Neurospora crassa OR74A: one gene and its partner. The protein of the gene in region 1 purifies or fractionates together with the protein of each later gene. This does not show direct contact. Links are inferred from orthologs where the notes say so. Each region holds a gene or a part of one and is shown on either strand. Other genes may lie near its edges.

Region 1 (9,928 bases):
ACTAAGGGACCCGATCCATGAGAGATGCTGCAGAATGGCATATAATGACAAAATTGGACTGGTGATGACATTTCAGTTTTCGTATGTACAAGCAATCAGGAGCAGCTAACAACGGTCTCTCGTCATCAGTCATATTCCCAACCTCTGAAGAGCTTCGTATCCGAGTTGCCCTGAGATCGTGTTGTAGAAGCTGAAAAGGCACACGACTTGGTTATTGATTAAACTTCCCACGAGGTATTCATACCATCAAGACTCCAAGCCTATGGTAGTAACACAAGTTACAGTTTGGCTTCCCTCCGATGGATGTGAAATACGCCGTGTCATGGATCACCGGTGTCCAATATGTCCAAAGACAACTGATACGCAAAAGAGATGGGATCCATATCTACAATGGAAGACGGGATTGAATGGCTATCATCGGATTCTTCAAAAGCTGACGCCGGCGGCGGGCTACCAATGAACAGACCAATTACTGACCCATGCGTCAAAAAGAGTATCCACGGCTGCAGTTCCGGCAGGCAAAGCGGCTGGCAGATAGATTGATACGTACGGAGATAAAGTGAGAGGTACGTAGGTACGTGTAGGTACCTGATGGAAGAGGAAGGGAAGTGGAAGGGTCGGGAATGGTCCGTGCCCGCGACACTCACTGCAGCCATCAGGGTCTTGATGGACCCACTCTTCAATTGAAGGCTTGCTGTCAACTTCCACTGTTTCGGTCGGCAAGTCAGCAGTCACAGGCCGCGCGCCGCTGAGTTGTCGCAATCCCATGCTAGACCTAGGTAAGTAGCCTCCATGTTGCATCGTGATTGGCCAAAACATGACGACAACACTGGGGAATGAGATTCAGAGGGGAGGGAGAGAGGGACCTGACCACCTACCGAGCCACCGTAGCAACCGCTCGCCCGCCGACTCGGACGGGACCTACATACCTCTAGGTTACCTTACTCAGCCCGCCCAGGACACGAGGCACGGACTCGGCCTTCATCCCGTCCATTTTCAAAAGTGCAAGTCCAGATTGGCGAAAGACAGCAAGTCCGGGTACCATAGGTAGTGTACGAGGGGGACCAGGGCAGCATCCATTGTCGTCTCTACCGAGCACCAAGTCTGAAACTGGCGATCTCCATACAAGCCCCAGATTATCTTTGATTGTTCCAGAAGACGAACGGAACCCCGAACTCGACAACATCGAATCGAGAAGCCATCCATCCATTGCTGCACCCTGACGAAATACCAAGAGCTGTGAACAGTTAGCCACATAACACATACGCGACATCTACACCTACACCTACACCTACACCTAATACCAAGCAGCTGGGGTGACGGATATATTGGAAATAGACGAACAAAGGAAGCTTACCTCTTTGCTGCCATTATTATTCAGCAGCTCCCATTCCGTTTCGATCAACATAACACGCTACACGACTCAAGAGGAAGAACTGAAGCCCCTCCCTCCGCCGCTTATACTACACTCTCCCCTGTCCTCGACATCAAGAAGTCAACAACAGCCCCCCCGTCAGATGCGCTGAAGCACCACGACGACGAATGGCCATCTGTCCCGCCCTCGGCCACCACCTCCAACCATGAGTTCCCTCAAGTTCGTGACGTCCTCTCTAGACGTCATTGCCGCCAATGCCGGCAAGAATAAGGAGCTGGCCGAATTGGCGCAAAAGGCCCAGGAAGCCATCAAGACAAACGACCAGCAGCTCCCCGACCCCGAGGTCATCTTCGCCCCCCTCCGACTAGCCACCAAGTCCGGCACCATCCCCTTGACTACAACCGCCCTCGACTGCATCGGCAAGCTCATCTCCTCCACCTACTTCTCCGTCCCTTCCGGCCGGTCCGCGGCGGCGAGCGAGGATGGCCAACCACAACAGCAGCAATACCTGCCCCTAATCGAACGCGCCATCGACACCATCTGCGACTGCTTCCAGGGCGAGGCCACCCTGGTCGAGATCCAGCTACAGATTGTCAAGTCCCTCTTGGCCGCCGTCCTCAATGACAAGATTGTCGTCCACGGCGCCGGCCTGCTCAAGGCTGTGCGCCAGGTTTACAACATCTTCCTCCTTTCCAGGAGTACGGCCAACCAGCAGGTCGCCCAGGGGACCCTCACACAAATGGTCGGAACCGTGTTCGAGAGAGTCAGCGCCAGGCTGCACATGAGGGAGGCCCGCGCCAATCTGAGCAAGCTGAAGCGGAGCCAGAGCAGTTTCAACGTCAACGGCTCATCCGACGGTCAAAATTCCACACAAGAGGAGGCCAACGGAGACGATGACGAGAACGTCCCCGAAGATGCGTCCGAATCGCAATTACAAGATGGGGATGGCAACGGCGACGGCCCCAAGCTCACCCTCAAGGACCTCGAGCACCGCAAGAGCTTCGACGACTCCAATCTCGGAGATGGCCCTACCATGGTCACCCAGCTAAAACCCAACAGGAAGCCTGCGAGGTCCGTGTCGGAACAGAGCGTGCCCGAGAGCGCCCAGGAGGACAGCCCCGAGTCGTTGGACGCCGAGGACGAAGTGTACATCCGCGACGCCTACCTCGTCTTCCGCTCCTTCTGCAACCTCTCGACCAAGATCCTGCCGCCCGACCAGCTCTACGACCTCCGCGGCCAGCCCATGCGGTCCAAGCTCATCTCCCTCCACCTCATCCACACCCTTCTCAACAACAACATTTCTGTTTTCACTTCGCCCTACTGTACCATCACCAATACCAAGAACAACGAGCCCACCAGCTTTTTGCAGGCCACAAAGTACTATCTGTGTTTGAGTATCACACGGAACGGGGCTAGCTCGGTCGATAGAGTATTTAATATTTGCTGTGAGATCTTTTGGCTAATGCTCAAGTACATGAGGGCTCCATTCAAGGTTTGTCGTGTGCTGTGCTTTGGTAGGAACAGGGAGGACATGTGCTAACACGCCAACAGAAAGAAATCGAGGTCTTCTTGAACGAAATCTACCTAGCCCTTTTGGCGCGGAGGACCGCCCCCTTGTCCCAGAAGCTCGCCTTTGTCAGTATCCTCAAGAGGCTATGTGAGGATCCCCGGGCATTGGTCGAGTTCTACCTTAATTACGATTGCGACCGAAATGTCGACAATATTTTCCAGCGCATCGTCGAGGACTTGTCCAAGTTTGCGACGTCGTCTACGACCGTCACGGCACTACAAGAACAGCAGTACGAGGAAAACCATGCCAAGTATGGGTCAGCCAGCGAGTGGCAGATGCGCAACGTTTTGCCACCACCACTTACCGTTGCCCTGATAGCCCAAAATACCGACACCGATGGCGATATCCCCAAGGACTATGTTCTAAAGAGGCAAGCTCTGGATTCCCTTGTTGAGTCGCTTAGGTCGCTTCTCAACTGGTCCCATCCAGGGCGCCCAGAGGTCATCACCACGGGAACGGGCATTTCCGAAAGACGGCCGTCAAGCGATGAGATCCGGGAATCCATGGACCCTTCGATCATGGGCGAGTCCCTATCCCGTTTAGACACCCCGACCATGCCATCGACACCGCTGCTTGACGATGACCCCGACCAGCTGGAAAAGGAAAAGCAGAGGAAGACGGCTCTCGGAAACGCTATCCGCGTGTTCAACTACAAGCCCAAGAACGGCATCAAATTGTTGTTGAAGGAAGGCTTTATCCCCGAAGACACGCCCGACGCCATTGCCAAGTTCTTGATCAGCGAGGAGAGGCTGGACAAGGCCCAGATCGGCGAATACCTCGGTGAGGGTGATCAGAAGAACATTGACATCATGCACGCTTTCGTCGACACCATGGACTTCACCAAGAAGCGCTTCGTGGATGCCTTGCGCCAGTTTCTTCAGGCTTTCCGCTTGCCCGGTGAGGCCCAAAAGATTGATCGTTTCATGCTCAAGTTCGCCAACCGATACATGCTGGGAAACCCCAAGGCCTTTGCCAATGCTGATACCCCTTATGTGCTGGCGTACTCCGTCATCATGCTGAACACGGATCTCCACAGCAGCAAGATTGTCAGGCGCATGACCAAGGAGGACTTTATCAAGAACAACCGCGGTATCAACGATAACGCCAACCTTCCGGACGAGTACCTCATCAGCATCTACGACGATATTGCCAACAACGAGATTGTCCTCAAGAGTGAGCGGGAAGCGGCGGCTGCGGCGGGAACGCTTCCAGCACAGTCAACCGGTCTGGCTGCTGGACTTGGCCAGGCCTTTTCCAACGTCGGTCGTGACCTGCAGAGGGAGGCATATGCTCAACAGTCTGAAGAAATCGCCATTCGGTCGGAGCAGCTCTTCAAGGACTTGTACCGTAGTCAACGGAAGAATGCGCAAAAGATGGGCGGCATCAAGTTCATCCCCGCTACCTCGTTCAAGCATGTATCGCCCATGTTTGATGTGACGTGGATGTCCTTCTTCTCGGCCCTGTCCAGCCAGATGCAAAAGACACATAACCTGGATGTGAACAAGCTGTGTCTGGAGGGTATGAAGCTTGCGACCAAGATTGCTTGCTTCTTTGATCTCAGCACTCCTAGAGAAGCCTTTATCTCGGCGCTCAAGAACACGGCCAATCTCAACAACCCCCAGGAGATTCAAGCTAAGAACGTCGAGGCCCTCAAGGTGATTCTTGAGCTTGGACAGACAGAAGGCAACCTCCTCAAGGAGTCGTGGAAGGATGTTCTCCTTTGTATCAGCCAGCTTGATCGTCTCCAGCTCATCTCGGGTGGTGTCGACGAGAGTGCCGTCCCCGACGTCTCCAAGGCCCGTTTCGTTCCTCCACCAAGAAGCGACTCGACGGACTCCCGCAAGTCTATGGCTGCCAAGCGACATCGCCCACGATCAAACACGGGCCCTCAGGGCGTCTCAATGGAAATTGCCCTCGAAAGCCGTTCGGACGAAGTCATTAAGAGCGTCGACCGCATCTTCACCAACACCGCCCACCTCAGCGGCGAGGCCATTGTTCACTTTGCCCGTGCCTTGACCGAAGTCAGCTGGGATGAGATCAAGGTGTCCGGGTCGAACGACTCGCCGCGCACTTACAGTCTGCAGAAGATTGTCGAGATTTCGTACTACAACATGACGCGTGTGAGGTTCGAGTGGACCAACATCTGGGATGTGTTGGGTGAGCACTTCAACCGGGTCGGGTGCCACGTCAATGCCGCTATCGTGTTCTTTGCTCTGGACTCGCTGCGTCAGCTGTCTACGCGCTTTATGGAGATTGAGGAGTTGGCGGGTTTCAAGTTCCAGAAGGACTTTCTCAAGCCGTTTGAGCATGTCATGTCCAACTCGAACAACATTACTGTCAAGGATATGATTTTGAGATGTCTGATTCAGATGATCCAGGCCAAGGGAGACAAGATCCGTTCCGGCTGGAGGACCATGTTTGGCGTCTTTACCGTGGCCGCCAAGGACCAGTACGAGAGCATCGTCAACCTGGCTTATGAGCACGTTCTGCATGTGTACAAGACGCGCTTCGGCGTGGTCATCACCCAGGGCGCGTTTACCGATTTGATCGTCTGCTTGACCGAGTTTTCCAAGAACATGAAGTTCCAGAAGAAGAGTCTGCAGGCGATGGAGACGCTCAAGAGCATCATTCCCAAGATGCTCAAGACACCCGAGTGTCCGCTGTCGCATAAGCAGAACTCGGAAGTAAACTCTGCCGAGATGGCTCTCAACGCTGCCACCAAGCCGACTGGTCAAGAAACGGGCACAACGGTGGAGGAGGGTTTCTGGTTCCCTGTTCTGTTCGCCTTCCATGACGTTCTCATGACCGGCGAGGATTTGGAAGTACGGTCGAACGCCCTCAACTACTTCTTTGATGCCCTGCTCAAGTATGGAGCCACATTCCCGCTTGGGTTCTGGGATATCTTGTGGAGGCAGCAGTTGTATCCCATCTTCATGGTGCTACGGTCGAAGCCCGAAATGTCCAATGCTCTTAGCCACGAGGAGTTGTCGGTTTGGTTGTCCACTACCATGATCCAAGCCCTGCGCAACATGATCACTCTGTTCACGCACTACTTCAACCCATTGGAGTACATGCTCGACCGGTTCCTCGAACTGCTGGCGCTCTGCATCCTTCAAGAAAACGACACCATTGCTCGCATCGGCAGCAACTGCCTGCAGACCTTGATCCTGCAAAATGTCGAAAAGTTCACCCACGAACACTGGCAAAAGATCGTCGACACCTTCTGCGAGTTATTCGACAAGACCACCGCGCACCAGCTCTTCAAAGCGGCCACCATTTCCACCCCCTTGTCAGCGTCCAACGGCCTCGACTACGCCAGCCAACTCAGTCCCTCCGCCGACGGTGCCGACGCCGACACCCGCTCCCTCAAGATCAACGGCGACAACGACGCCGGCTCCGAAACTTCCTCCATCCACCAAACGCCCCACACCAACGGCGGTATCAACCCCGAAGAGGACTCCCATTCCTCAGTTCACAACCGTCTCACGGCTTCCACCGCGCTTTCCTCGCACCCACCCAACACCCCCGGCGGCCAGGGTCTCGAGGAATTCAAGCCATCCACCACCCTTCAACAACAACCGCCCGTCGTGACCGCCGCCCGCCGCCGCTTCTTCAACCGCATCATCAGCCGCTGCGTCCTGCAACTGCTCATGATCGAGACCGTCCAAGAGCTCTTCTCCAACGACTCGGTCTACAGCCACATCCCCTCCCCGCTGCTCTTGAAACTCATGTCCCTTTTGAAGCGCTCCTACCTGTTCGCCAAGCGCTTCAACGCCGACAAAGACTTGCGCATGCGTCTCTGGCGCGAGGGATTCATGAAACAGCCGCCGAACCTGCTCAAACAGGAATCAGGCAGCGCCGCTGTCTATGTTTCGATCCTATTCAGGATGTTCGCCGACACCTCTCCCGAGCGTCTCGCGTCCAAGGCCGATGTCGAACGGGCTTTGGTCCCTTTATGTCTGGACATTGTCCGCGTGTATGTCTCGCTGGAAGAAGAAAGTCAGAATAGGAATATCCAGGCGTGGAGGCCCGTGGTGGTGGAGGTGTTGAATGGGTTTGCCGGGGGCGTTAGTAACCCCGAAAAGGGCGAGATGAAGGAAGGCAGAGGGTTCGGAGAAGAAGACTTCAAGAAACATTTGCATGAGGTGTACCCTGTGGTGATTGAGTTGCTGGGGAAGGAGTTGGGGCAAGGCGAGAGGGAACTGAGGCAGGCGTTGCTGGGGGTGTTGAGACGGGTGGGAGAGGTGGGGTTGGGGATTGAGGGGTTGGTTGGTAGCTCCAACTCTAACTCTAACTCTACGGGGAGGTTGTCGTCGAATCACAGGCGACAGGATACGTTGGTGATGAGTGGTAATGGGAGGATGGCCTATGGGCATGATAGGACGGAGAGTGTGGTTAGTACTATGACTGTGGGGACGATTGGTGGTGGTGGTGGTGGTGGTGGTTATCGGGAGAGGGAAAGGGAGAGGGAGGGAGAAAGAGAAGGGGAGGGAGAAGGGGAGGATATGGCGAGGTAGAGGAAGGAAGATGACGGAAGAAGAAGATACCAAGGCGAGGATATAGATAGTGTAGTGTAGTGTAGTGTAGTGTAGTGTAGGGATGGATGGGGGTAATGGAAAGGGTAGAGCAAAACGGGATCCTATTTCTGTTTCTTATATATATATATATATATATTTACATATATTTTCGGTAATGCGCGTACAATAACTACTAACACAGTGCAACGTAGTTCTTGTAAACACAGTTTTGTTCAGGTCTGGCTTTGGTTTTGGCATGGAAAGGAAAATGTGCGTCTTTAACTAATTATTTTTTTTTTTGTTTTTTTTTTCAACTGCTTAGTTATCTGGCAGACTAGGTATGGTTCTGCTTTATCAACCGAAACATTGTGTGTACGGTATGTAGCTGTTGTGTTGTGCTGTGTTGTGTTGTGTTGTCTAAGAAGAAGAAGAAGAAGAAGAAGAAGAAGAAGAAGAAGAAGAAGAAGAAGAAGAAGAAGAAGAAGAAGAAGAAGAAGAAGAAGAAGAAGAAGAAGAAGAAGAAGAAGAAGAAGAAGAAGAAGAAGAAGAAGAAGAAGAAGAAGAAAAAGAAATCAAATACTTACTGCTTGCTCCTCTAATGATGATGATCGTACCGTGCATAATGGGCCATTAATCAAGTTTCTCTGTGATGCGAGTACTTAAATATTAGATCGACTTAATATTAGAAAGGTACGGTACCCGAGCACCAAAGCTGCAATTCCCTTTGCCTTTGCCTTTGCCTTTCGCTTCATCCAGCCCATTACCGACAACCCATTATCAGCTCTCCTCTCCAGATCATCCTTTCCATGCCTAACCAGCTCGTAACCAGTTCGTAACCTACCCATCCTCCCATTCTCCTACACCGGCCTCCGTTTCGATCACTACCTCATAACCACATCTATCTCCTCCCTCGGAGGCATCACCTCCCTCACCCATCCCCTCAACTCATCCCTTTCCTCATCCACCGTCCTATCCGGTAACCCCTCCAAGCTCTCCCTCAGCAACTCATCATCCGCCACCGCCTCTCTCACAATCTCCTTGACGATATTCACCTTGTCCTCGGAATGGGGCGTCACGCGCATCAACCCGACAAAGGCCTCAAAGAAGTCAATCAGGGATAAATGCATAAGCACATCATTGCGATCGACCATGCGGAGGGCAGCAAAGTGAAGCAGGCCTTGTCCCTGTTTTGGTGGTGCCGGGAGGGGCATTTGCGTTGCTTCTTCTTCTTCCTCTTCTTGTTCGACTCCGACGCCGTTGGTGAGGATGTCGCTGTTGTAGTTTGTTGTCCTCCCGTTTGGACGAGATGTGTTGTGACCGTTTGTTGTTGTTCTCGCCGTAGCATAAAGGTAGTATCCCGGTGTTGGTGCCGCCACTTCGCTCCGAGCTACCTTGTTCAGATCCAGGGCCGCCAGTCTCGGTAAAATCCTCAGTATCCTCCCTTGTGCAAGGGTCAATTGTCTGCCTTTCTTCTTCTTTTCCTCTACGTCGGAAGTAGAAGTGATATTCGTATCTTCATGTCGACCCGCTAGTAAATCCAGAATCAGGCTGTAGACTTGTTGGTCGGCAAATACTCGTCGCCACAACGCCCCTGACCCTTTTTCCTTTCGTAAGACCATATCATGCCATGTAGGCATCCCGGCATCGAGCGGATGTTGTTGTTGTTGTTGTTGTTGTTGTTGTTGTCGTTGTGGTCGTGCCGGAGGGTCGAATTCGCAGTCGACGTCCAATAGGTCACCGATGACTCGCCCGCCTTTTTCTCCGACGCCTACTTCGCTGCTGCCTAGCCAGGTTCTGACGAAGGAATGGACGACTTCTTGCATGTCTGCTAGCTGGGCTACCTCGGCTGGAGCGGCAGCGGCTTTGTGGAGTATTGTCATGGCGAGGATGTTGGCTGCGGGAAAGGGTGATTCGAGCGCTTGGATTAGGGATTCGGGAGGCGCGAGGGAGGTGATTTGGCTGAAGGAGAGAGGGCGGAGGAGTTTGGTCGTTAACGAGGCGGGCGTGGTTGGGTCGGAGGGGGTGGTGTGTAGGATTTGGACGAGGCGGGGGAGGAGGGTGGTGAGGAGGGGAGGGGTGTTGGAGTCTGTTGAAAGTAGAAGTTAGTTTACTGGACGTGTTTCTAGGAGGCAGAGTAGGGAAGAGAAGAGTGGCAGGCACATACCCGTAAGCTGGAGCTCGATGTCGTCGAACAGCTTGGCTTCGAGGGGAGTGGAAGGGTCGGCGATGAGAGCGTCCATGTGCGCCGTGAGGTCATCGAGACCAGTGATGGGGATGTTGTTGTCCATGGTGTCTGTTGGCATAACTCGTTGTGTTCTTCGTTTTCTACAATCTCGATGTTCGCCTTCGATATAGCTCGGATATGGTCAAAGAATCGGCGACGGCAGCGAGGGTGGTGATGATGATGATGGCAAACAACAAAGGGAAGATGTCCAGTGGAAGAAGGTCAGCGGCGGTTCAGTGATC
Region 2 (9,877 bases), on another chromosome or scaffold:
ACAGAAGAGCTTGATCCAGCATGTCAATCTGCCGGAGGAGAAGTTTGGAAGAAGAGGATAAGGGACAAAAAGCTCAACCGCCCAAGTCAAAGTCCGAACTGACCAGCTGCCGGCTTTGAGAATTGTACCACCAGCACCGCGCACCGGGCACTGGTTTTCTAGCCCATCGACGGCTTGACCACGGAGAGAACCTGCTTAAACCCTCTGAATCCCAATTGTATGTACCCCGAGGGGGATTCGAATTGACTGGTCATATTTGCCAGCCGCACCAGCTCCAGTTAACCCCGTTGAGTCTTAGGATATGTTCGCTCTATATCTAAGATAGCGCCGGCCATCTTGCCAGAGGCGTTCCGAAGTTGAAGATGTTCTGGTACTGAATGGCTGGAGATAGGCAACGTGAAGACAATGCCTGCCCTAACTGGTATCGCGGTTTCTGCTGCGCTCGCTGTTACAACGAGACGCACCCACTTGGGAGTAGGGACAGTAAGCTATGTTGACCCCATCAATATGCGAGTAATAGGAGAAGAGTATTCGGTCAACCCTCCCGCGCCTGATGATGTCCTCGCCCGAGGCATATTCTGACGCTGGCTTCGACAAGCGTCCACGCAACCTTGACCTGGCTTACAGCATTTCAACCAGGTGACCGGCGCTTAATGAAGATACAATTGACTTAACCGACTTCTACGTCTGGTCCTTCGTTAGTAAAGAGCTTGATGAATATTGTACCTTATGAAGCTAAGGTAGTGATGGGTATCGAGGGCTTCAATGTGGGTACGAAGATGCCGAGAGAGAATGACAATTGAGTTTCGATCCTCTGTATGTTATTACGATGGTCTTCGGAGTGTCATATCTTGCTAAAATGGTAATCGAAGGATCAAATACAATAATGGAGGGGCGATACATCAATGTGACTGTTTGAGGTAAGTGACGTTGACGGCAGTTAGTCTGGGAAGAGAACTCGGGCAGTACATGTAATGCCTGAACCAAGATGTTGACTGGCAGATAGCTACCAAACACGCATTTAAATCATCAGTTCCGAAACTCTCCCTGCCGATAATGAAAACTTGTAGCTCGCGTTGGGTCCTAAGGTAATGCCGAATCAGATAAGTAATGAAAGAAGTACTGGTTAAACTACCTGCATCTGATACAGAAAGTTCGTTGAGGATCCCAATGACCTCGCGTGAAGCCTTTCACAAGTTCTTGCGCAGTGCAAGTCCAAGTTCCTCCCAAAGTCCCAGGTCGTTATCTCCCGCTGCTCAGGGCACGAACAGGGTGGCACGTGCCCCCTATCTACTTAGGAGCCAAGCAGTGCTTGTCACTACACTCACGCCACCCTCCTTCGGCGTCACCCAGCCCAAGGTTTTGGAGAACCCCCCGATTCCAATTTCCCCATCAAAGCGCACATGGAGAAGACGTGACGGAACAGCTGCAGAAGGCCAAACGACTTTCTTTGCGTCGACCAGGGCCCCGTCTTTCAGTCCGATTGTGCCATCGTCAGCCCCATCCCACCACGCAACAAACACATTCTTTCTCGCAACAAGCTTCTCAAGGCTCTACAAAAAGGCGGTGCTGTCCCGTTCAACTAAAAGTAAGTTAAAGAGTTGGGCTTCAAGGTTCCTGGTCCAGTCCCCTCCCCATCCCTTGCTCCAGCCAGGTCCCGTCTTTTGGAAGGTCCACGGGAGCGGACCCCTCCCCACTTTTGTATTCCTTTTCCTCCACCATTGCATCGGTGACCAACAACCTGACCACCTTGGCCTCGCTCCCACAGCCCGTTGCGCCAGCCTGACCCAAACCACCACTTTTCGATCCCGCTCATTCAGGTTTCTCTCACTGACCTGCCAACTTCAGTTCCTTTACACAACCAGGAGTTGACCGTATTGCACGCGACACAATCGCGACAAGCAGCTCTTCAATCAATCATACCAGCAACATGTCGTCTGTGGTGAACGAGGGGGAGAAGCCCCAAGAGGCCGCTCAGGAGCAACAGGAGGAGCAGCAGCAGCAGCAGCAGCAGCAAGAGCAGCAAAACGCGGGAGACGATGTCAACGATGATGAGGTGCGCCAGCTCCGGCCCAAGCCCAGCGATACGATCCACCGTGTTTGCTTCCACGCGGAGTGCAGGCGCTAACACCAAGTAATCGTGAACAGGAGGAGATCTCGGCCATGAAGCGCCGTGTCGCCGAGATGGAAGAGGAGGCTGCCAAACTCCGCGAGATGCAAGCTAGTCTGGACCAACAGCATCATGAGCTCACCGAGAACAAGGAGGATATCGACAGTCGGAGCATCTTTGTCGGAAACGTCGACTATTCGGCTTCGCCTGAGGAGATCCAGGCGCACTTCCAGAGCTGCGGGTCCATCAACCGTGTCACCATTCTCCTCGACAAGTTTACCGGTCAACCCAAGGGGTACGCATCTCCTCTTCTTTCCCAGCTGATTACCCTCAAGTACATACACTGACGGTGTCATTTATCCAATAGTTACGCGTATGTCGAGTTTACCGAGCCTAGCCTGGTCGCACAAGCCCTTGTTCTCAACGAGAGTGTCTTCAAGGGCCGCAACATCAAGGTCGTCCCCAAGCGCACGAATATTCCCGGCATGTCGCGCGGCGGTCGCGGCGGTCGAGGTTCCTTCCGCGGAGGCGGTCGCGGGGGCTATTTCGGTGGACGGGGCGGTTTCCCTCCTAGGGGAGGCTACCGTGGCGGCTACCGTGGACGCGGCCGAGGAGGCTACGCTCCTTACTAGTTTTTTTTGGTGGTGGTCTGACATACGGCACATGATCCCGCATCCATCAGGACAATCAGAGCCGTATGCGGCCCCTCTCTGACATCCGCAGACACTACCTGGAATTGTGAAGATGGGCTCGATCTCATCTGAGCTGGTATCACTATCAGGCAACCCGGTGTACGTGTTGCTCATGATTCATGGGAACGTTTTTTTTTCTCCCTTTGATGGCTGTAAGATTAGGATATATCAGCAGGGAAGAGGAGGACACTTGAATGGTGGAGGAAGGGAAGGGTTCGTTGTCTTGGCCTGTTTTTGCACCATGGGAGCAATGGGATTTTCAAAGTTTTCATTTTGGCTGCGCGTATCGGCAAGGCGTCAATGGGTGGGAGGGTAAAACGAAGGAAAACGCCAATTCCATATGCTCTTTTATTTCTTCTTCGTTTATTCATGTCACGTTCAATTTTTGTATTTGATATTTGGCATAAGCGCCGCCTACTACTTTTCGGTTCGACATTTGCTACGGCTATGTCTGCTCAGGGGAATCATCAGCGAAGTTGCTTAATATGGGCTGTCTGTTACCGCTAGCCATCACCACATAATGACTAGCTTTGGCAACAATTGAAGCTATCACTTGACACTTCAATCTGCGAACATGTGCTCGAATTAGCGTAGCGATGATACTTTATTCACACCGCTATTGTTGTTCCGACACTAAAAACAAAGAAAGAGAAAAAAAAGAGTCCACGGATCGTCAGATGCCAGGTGCCGCCGCCTTCGCCGCGAACCTCCATGTCAACATTTTCCACCGAAATTGAACGACTCCAATATACAAAGGGCATGCAAATGACAACTCAACAGACACCTGCGCAAGACATCTTTGCTCCGACAAGACCGAAGGCGGTTGTGGTGAAATTCAAAGAGGCTGGTTTTTGAGGTATAGTAGAGTGAGTACTTACCTAGGTAGAAGAGCTATACGCGGATTGCGCATTACCTCTACCACTTTTTAGAAGTGTCGAACAAAGGGCGCTCCACATTTGCTGTCTCGCTTCGTTCAATGATGACAGCCACTAGTGTAGTGTACAAACCTAGTGTACATATGATGGGTACCTCTATGCTTCCATGAACTCCCCATCGTCAAAAGCACCTCAACAAAAAAAGAAACCTCAATTGAAAATCCAGAGATGCAGTAACGCCCCGCAGTTCCGTCGCACGCGAGGGGTATCAAAATGGAAATGACGGGCGTTTATGTCGGTGATGCGCTATTGTTGGAACAGCAGCGTCTCGGTCGGCGGCAACGGGGGTACACTACATGTACTGGGATACGCTAAGTAGCGACCTAACGCCTTTTTGCACCCCGTGCGGTGTATCGTCGTTATGGGATGTAGAGGTGCTGTGCGTTGAATTGTCAAGGTTGAGGTTTGAAGTGTTCACTTTCCTAATTGACTGCCTCTGGAGGTTTCTTCAAAGTTCGGTAGTGGCTTGATATCTGGTAGATCTGCGCAAGATCATCATCATCCCCGATCGTTGGGCTACCTCTTGTGTAGAGTTTTTGGAACAGACAGCTTCTACTACAATCTTGGCGTTTCCTGGAGAGACCTCGGAGCTTGGGGCGGTCGGTGGAGGTGCTTTCCTACCCCTAGTCATGGAAAGGCATTCAGGCCAGCATAGCTACCTATTCTAATTCTCTGTGTCGATGACTGAGCCGTGATCCATGGGATATTTTCCTGACAGGGCATCAACTCCTAAGAAAAGACACGGGACTATGTGATCCATGTACACCAAGGTTGCTCTTTGTGTGCCAATGATGTTGTTGATGTTGATCTCGAGATCTGGATGCCGTGCCAAGCATGGAGTGAATGTGGCCCCCTGGGAGTCTGGGACTCGAATGACCCGACCAACTGCTTAAGAGAAGAAGTCAAGTACCGCACTGTGCGCACCTTCCGCTTCAGTTCTCGCTCTTTGCAGGCTTCTGCTAACTAGTTCCTGGCCTAAAAGTAGTCACTCGTTAATGCGATACCTGAGCTACTAACTGAAAAGTTAAGCTTCTCGCACAGAGCATGCTAGGCCAGCCATACTTTCCCGTTAATGCTGTTGAACCATTATGTCTTGTCACCTCCCCCTGTCTCTTCACCAATGCTAGATCCAACTTGGACTGTCAATTTCTTGGCTTGGGTCGTTGCACCATTGCACCTTTGCAACATCGCAAGACGTCCAGGTTTCTCGGTCGTTTTCCCTCCCATCCTTTGGCTCATCCGTCGGTTGCAACTTAGTGAAGGTCATTGAGCTCTTCACCTGGACCTTCTTGGGGTTGGTCCGTCGAACCCAAGCTCACCCACCCGCCACTTCCAGCAGCTTCACCGCGACAAAACAACGACAGCATTCAACCTCGACACTACTAACTAAAGGTACCCTTACCAGACGAACCTAGACATCCGAGCGAGTTTACACTACCTGCTGGTTGATCCACAGAAGTGGTTTCCTAAGTATCAGACCTGCCTTGCCGACCTTGCTAGTACAGAGATTACTTAGTATTACCAAGCCACAGCCGTCCAACCTTGGCCTCTTGGATTGCTTGGCCTTTCCTTGCAGTTCGCCTTCCGCCGCCGTGACTACCTGACAGCGTAAGATACCCAAAGCGGGGGGGCCGGCTGGCCACACACGCACGAGTTACCAAGAGCAGCACAGCCTCACCACCTACGGGCGCTCAAGAGTCCCTCTAGCTTCCATCTACCACCTACTGCCACCTACAGAATTTCATCCACCCTGCCGCATCCATTCCGTTGCCAGTGACTGCGCGTTCTCGTCAACGTCAGTGTCCATCGCAAGGAGAGTTGGCCCTTTTGTAACAATCATTCAGCCTGCTTGTACCATCGTCGACTTGTCCTCCTTTCATCCCCGCCCCGCCTGCATTCAGCCGCGAGTCCTCGATCCCAAACGAGCGAGAGCGACCGACTACCCGACCCGATTGCGACCAGCCTCTGCTTGGTCCAAGAAACGAGACGAAAACTTAAAGCCCCGCGTGCGAGTTTGTTGACGCGCTCCATCTGCAACAATGACCAGCAGCCGGGACTCGGGGCTGCCGGCGTAAGTTCTCCCACGACTGGACTCTCCATCTACCCATCTTGTCTGCTTTGCGTCGCCCTCAGGGACCGCGGATTATAAGCGAGAGAACAGCCAGCTAACAACCACCACGATTAAAGCCAGCCCAATCTCCGCGTAACAAGTACTCAGCCCCTTTGCGACGAATGTGTCCGATGACCAACCGGTGTACTAACATGCCCCTCTAGTCATCGCCGCCGATGGTCTATACAAGCGAGATGTCTTCAGTATGTTTCTCCCCGTGGCCAGGTGTCATGCATCTTCTAAGCCACTTCCAGGTGGCATATGCTAACCGCATCATCATCATAGGGTTTCCCGACCCGTTCGCCGTCGCTACCATTAACGGTGAGCAGACAAAGACCACCCAGGTCTCCAAGCGTACCCTAAACCCATACTGGAACGAACACTTTGATTTGTAGGTTCGACCTTAACTCAGATTTGACAGCCCAAGGGCCAGCTGGCTAATACAACGTAGCAAAGTGAATGAGGACAGCATTCTGGCTGTCCAGGTGTTCGACCAAAAGAAGTTCAAAAAGAAGGACCAAGGTTTCCTCGGTGTCATCAATGTCCGGATAGGGGACGTAATAGAATTGGCTCCCGATGCGGAAGGTAAGGTTTCACTGCAATTCACATGTGTTTGCAGGTTGACAGCGCGATTTGGGACTGACATGCACCACACCCACAGATCAGATGCTCACGCGGGACCTTAAGAAATCGACCGACAACCTTGTGGTGCACGGCAAACTGATCATAAACCTATCTACTAACCTCACAGCAACTATGAGTCGCCTCGGTCCCCCTCCATCTTCGAGCAGACCATCACTACTCACCCCTCAAAGTTCGGTTATTTCTAACGACAGAGCGAACGAACGTCCTTCATCAGCCATGTCCGGACCTAATGGAACCGCCAATAACATGACTTTGGCAAGCCGACCCGCCAGCCTGGCTGTTTCGTCGTCGTCGACAGCCCCGACCCCCGGGACAAATGGAACAGCCCCAACGAACCCGTCGACCCTCGTTCCGGCGCAAGCCAGGCACCATAGCACGCTTAGCCCCTTCGAAGATTCAATGGGAAGATTGCCAGCTGGCTGGGAACGTCGCGAGGATCATTTGGGGAGGACATATTATGTTGATCATAATTCACGGACCACGAGCTGGAATCGGCCAACTGGCACAGGGGCGGCCGAAAACCGTACCGCCGAAGCCAATACTCAAGTCGAGCGTCAACGGCATCAGAACAGAACACTTCCCGAGGACCGCACTGGCGCCAATTCCCCCACCCTACAGCAGCAGCAAGCTGCCGCCACCGCCAATGCTGCCACTATGATGCATACCGGGGCGACAACCCCCGGAACCGGTGAATTACCTGCTGGTTGGGAGCAGAGGTTTACCCCAGAAGGAAGGCCGTACTTTGTCGACCACAACACGCGCACTACTACCTGGGTCGACCCTCGACGCCAGCAGTACATTCGCATGTACGGTGGCCAGAACAACACGAACGGGACCATTCAACAACAGCCGGTGTCCCAGCTCGGTCCCCTGCCTAGTGGTTGGGAGATGCGGCTCACCAACACGGCTCGCGTCTACTTCGTGGATCACAATACCAAGACAACGACCTGGGATGATCCTCGTCTGCCTTCGTCGCTCGACCAGAACGTACCGCAGTACAAGAGAGACTTCAGGAGGAAGCTCATCTATTTCCGTTCGCAGCCTGCTATGCGGATCATGTCCGGACAGTGTCACATCAAGGTCAGGAGATCGCACATTTTCGAGGATTCGTTTGCGGAGATTTCGAGGCAATCGGCGACGGACCTGAAGAAACGATTGATGATCAAGTTCGACGGCGAGGACGGCCTCGATTACGGCGGTCTGTCGCGCGAGTTCTTCTTCCTCCTTTCTCACGAAATGTTCAATCCATTCTACTGCTTGTTCGAGTATTCGGCCCACGATAACTACACCCTCCAGATCAACCCCCACTCGGGTATCAACCCTGAGCATCTCAACTATTTCAAGTTCATTGGCCGGGTCGTGGGTCTGGCTATTTTCCACAGGCGATTCCTGGATGCCTTCTTCATTGGCGCTCTGTACAAGATGGTTCTCGGAAAGGCTGTCAGCTTGGCGGATATGGAGGGTGTGGATGCCGATTTCCATCGGTCTCTGCAGTGGATGCTGGATAACGACATCACCGACGTTCTTGACGCAACCTTCTCTACTGAAGACGAGCGGTTCGGCGTAATCACGGAGGAGGATCTAATCCCCAATGGTAGGAACATTGCGGTCACAAACGAGAACAAGAAGGAGTATGTCGAATTGATGGTGAAGTGGAGGATCGAAAAGCGCATTGAGCAACAGTTCCGGGCGTTCAAGGATGGCTTCCATGAGCTTATCCCGCAGGATCTGATCAACGTGTTTGATGAGCGCGAGCTTGAGCTGTTGATTGGTGGTATTGCCGAGATCGATGTCGACGACTGGAAGAAGCACACGGATTACCGTGGTTATACCGAGTCAGACGAGGTTATCCAGTTCTTCTGGCAGACTGTTCGGTCGTGGGATGGCGAGCAAAAGTCGAGATTGCTCCAGTTCACGACCGGCACATCCCGTATCCCAGTCAACGGATTCAAGGATCTCCAGGGTAGTGATGGTCCTCGTAGATTTACGATTGAGAAGGCAGGAGAGATTACGAATCTTCCCAAGGCGCATACATGGTACGTATGAATATGGAGGTGAAGACGTGGTGAGGACTTTTGCTAACAGGTTTTTTTTTTTTTTTTTTGTGCAGTTTCAACCGGTTGGATCTGCCACCGTACAAGTCTCTGGAGATGCTGCAGCAAAAGCTTACGATTGCTGTGGAGGAGACTATGGGTTTCGGACAAGAATAAAAGGACAAAAACAGGGGCGATGAATCATGGACAGAGGGACGAATATGGTGATATGGGATATGGTGGTATGGCTGCGATGGCTGCATGAAGGAAAGAACGGTACTGCTACACGAGTATTGGGTGGCATGCGTCGAATTTATGATAGCATCAAGCTTTTTTTTTTCTCATCAATTTATTGTCCGACCCGTTTTGGTTTCTTTTTTGGGGCGAAGTTCATTGGCACCGGAGATTACTACTGTTACCTCGCCCCTCCCCGGTGCACAAGAGCTGTATATAAATGGATTGTTTGCTTGTTATTGATCCTTCAAGTAGTGAGCTTCAGCATCCTGCTACTGGTATACGTTCAAATGTGGTGTTATGGAATTAGGCAATGCCAAGTTTGTGCATACAACGATTACCCTGGAGACAAAGAGGAGGGCGTGTGGTTTATGTTTGTAATTCAGGAACCAGGAGATGGGTTGTAAGTTTACTGCGTAATAGACATACTATCATGTTCCACTAAGGGACCCATACAATGTGCGTCATCCCGTAGGGATACCGGTACTTGCTATGTAAGTCTACACTAAGCAATCGATATTGTAGAGCATCCTGGCTGTATAAGTTATGGTTCTGTCAATTATATCCGCTCCTTGACGCTTGACTTGCCTGGAAGTTCACTTGATGGATCGAGATCCCGGTCAGACTTGGCCGAGCACTTCGGAAGACGTTGCGGCTCCGGTACGCCGGTTGATATTCGCGGCCGGCGTGGGGGTTCCTGCATTATCGCACGGCAGATAACCGGGAAATCTGGATGCATGACAGTGACATCGGGGCAAACATTCCTCTTGTCTCTCCGAACTTTTTGACAAATCTGTTCGGCACATTTTGTGTAATTCCGACGCTCATTTGAGGGGAACCACTTCTATTCATCACATCAGTTTCTCCGTTGCCAACACTCGCCGCAAAAAGACTGCGCGAGGTGGTCACTATCACCAAAGCACCAAGAGCAAATGGCGCCACCAGCCCCCCGCTCCCCAGGAGTCCTCTACTGGGCTCCCCGCCTCTCGCTCGGCGCCTTAGCCATCGCCTTCCTCATCCACCTCAACCACCCCGCCTCCTCCTTTTCCCTCTTCGGCCCCAACACCATCCGCAATTCCGACTCTGCCATCACAGCAAAGACCTACTGCTACACCTCG

The links.
Region 2: the proteins of NCU07658 (region 1) and NCU03947 purify together in Saccharomyces cerevisiae (affinity purification with mass spectrometry; 3 studies listed by BioGRID, with this or other methods). This does not show direct contact. The link is inferred for Neurospora crassa OR74A from reciprocal best matches to the Saccharomyces cerevisiae genes SEC7 and RSP5.

Annotation. Positions count from the first base shown.
Region 1 is NC_026504.1:422,096-432,023, reverse strand, and holds NCU07658 (protein transporter sec72), read left to right. Parts: upstream 1-817; 5' UTR 818-1,580; coding exon 1,581-2,867; intron 2,868-2,926; coding exon 2,927-7,462; 3' UTR 7,463-7,634; downstream 7,635-9,928. Other genes in the region: NCU07657 (hypothetical protein), read right to left, coding at 8,344-9,548, 9,627-9,765. UniProt on the Saccharomyces cerevisiae protein: Guanine exchange factor that acts as an activator of ARF1 at the trans-Golgi network and is thus involved in vesicular budding and traffic between compartments of the Golgi apparatus.
Region 2 is NC_026506.1:2,202,133-2,212,009, forward strand, and holds NCU03947 (ubiquitin ligase), read left to right. Parts: upstream 1-4,941; 5' UTR 4,942-5,776; coding exon 5,777-5,808; intron 5,809-5,924; coding exon 5,925-5,947; intron 5,948-6,011; coding exon 6,012-6,050; intron 6,051-6,132; coding exon 6,133-6,238; intron 6,239-6,298; coding exon 6,299-6,432; intron 6,433-6,508; coding exon 6,509-8,528; intron 8,529-8,602; coding exon 8,603-8,702; 3' UTR 8,703-9,086; downstream 9,087-9,877. Other genes in the region: NCU03946 (polyadenylate-binding protein 2), read left to right, coding at 1,931-2,056, 2,149-2,405, 2,478-2,742; NCU03948 (amidohydrolase 3), read left to right, coding at 9,692-9,877. UniProt on the Saccharomyces cerevisiae protein: E3 ubiquitin-protein ligase which accepts ubiquitin from an E2 ubiquitin-conjugating enzyme in the form of a thioester and then directly transfers the ubiquitin to targeted substrates.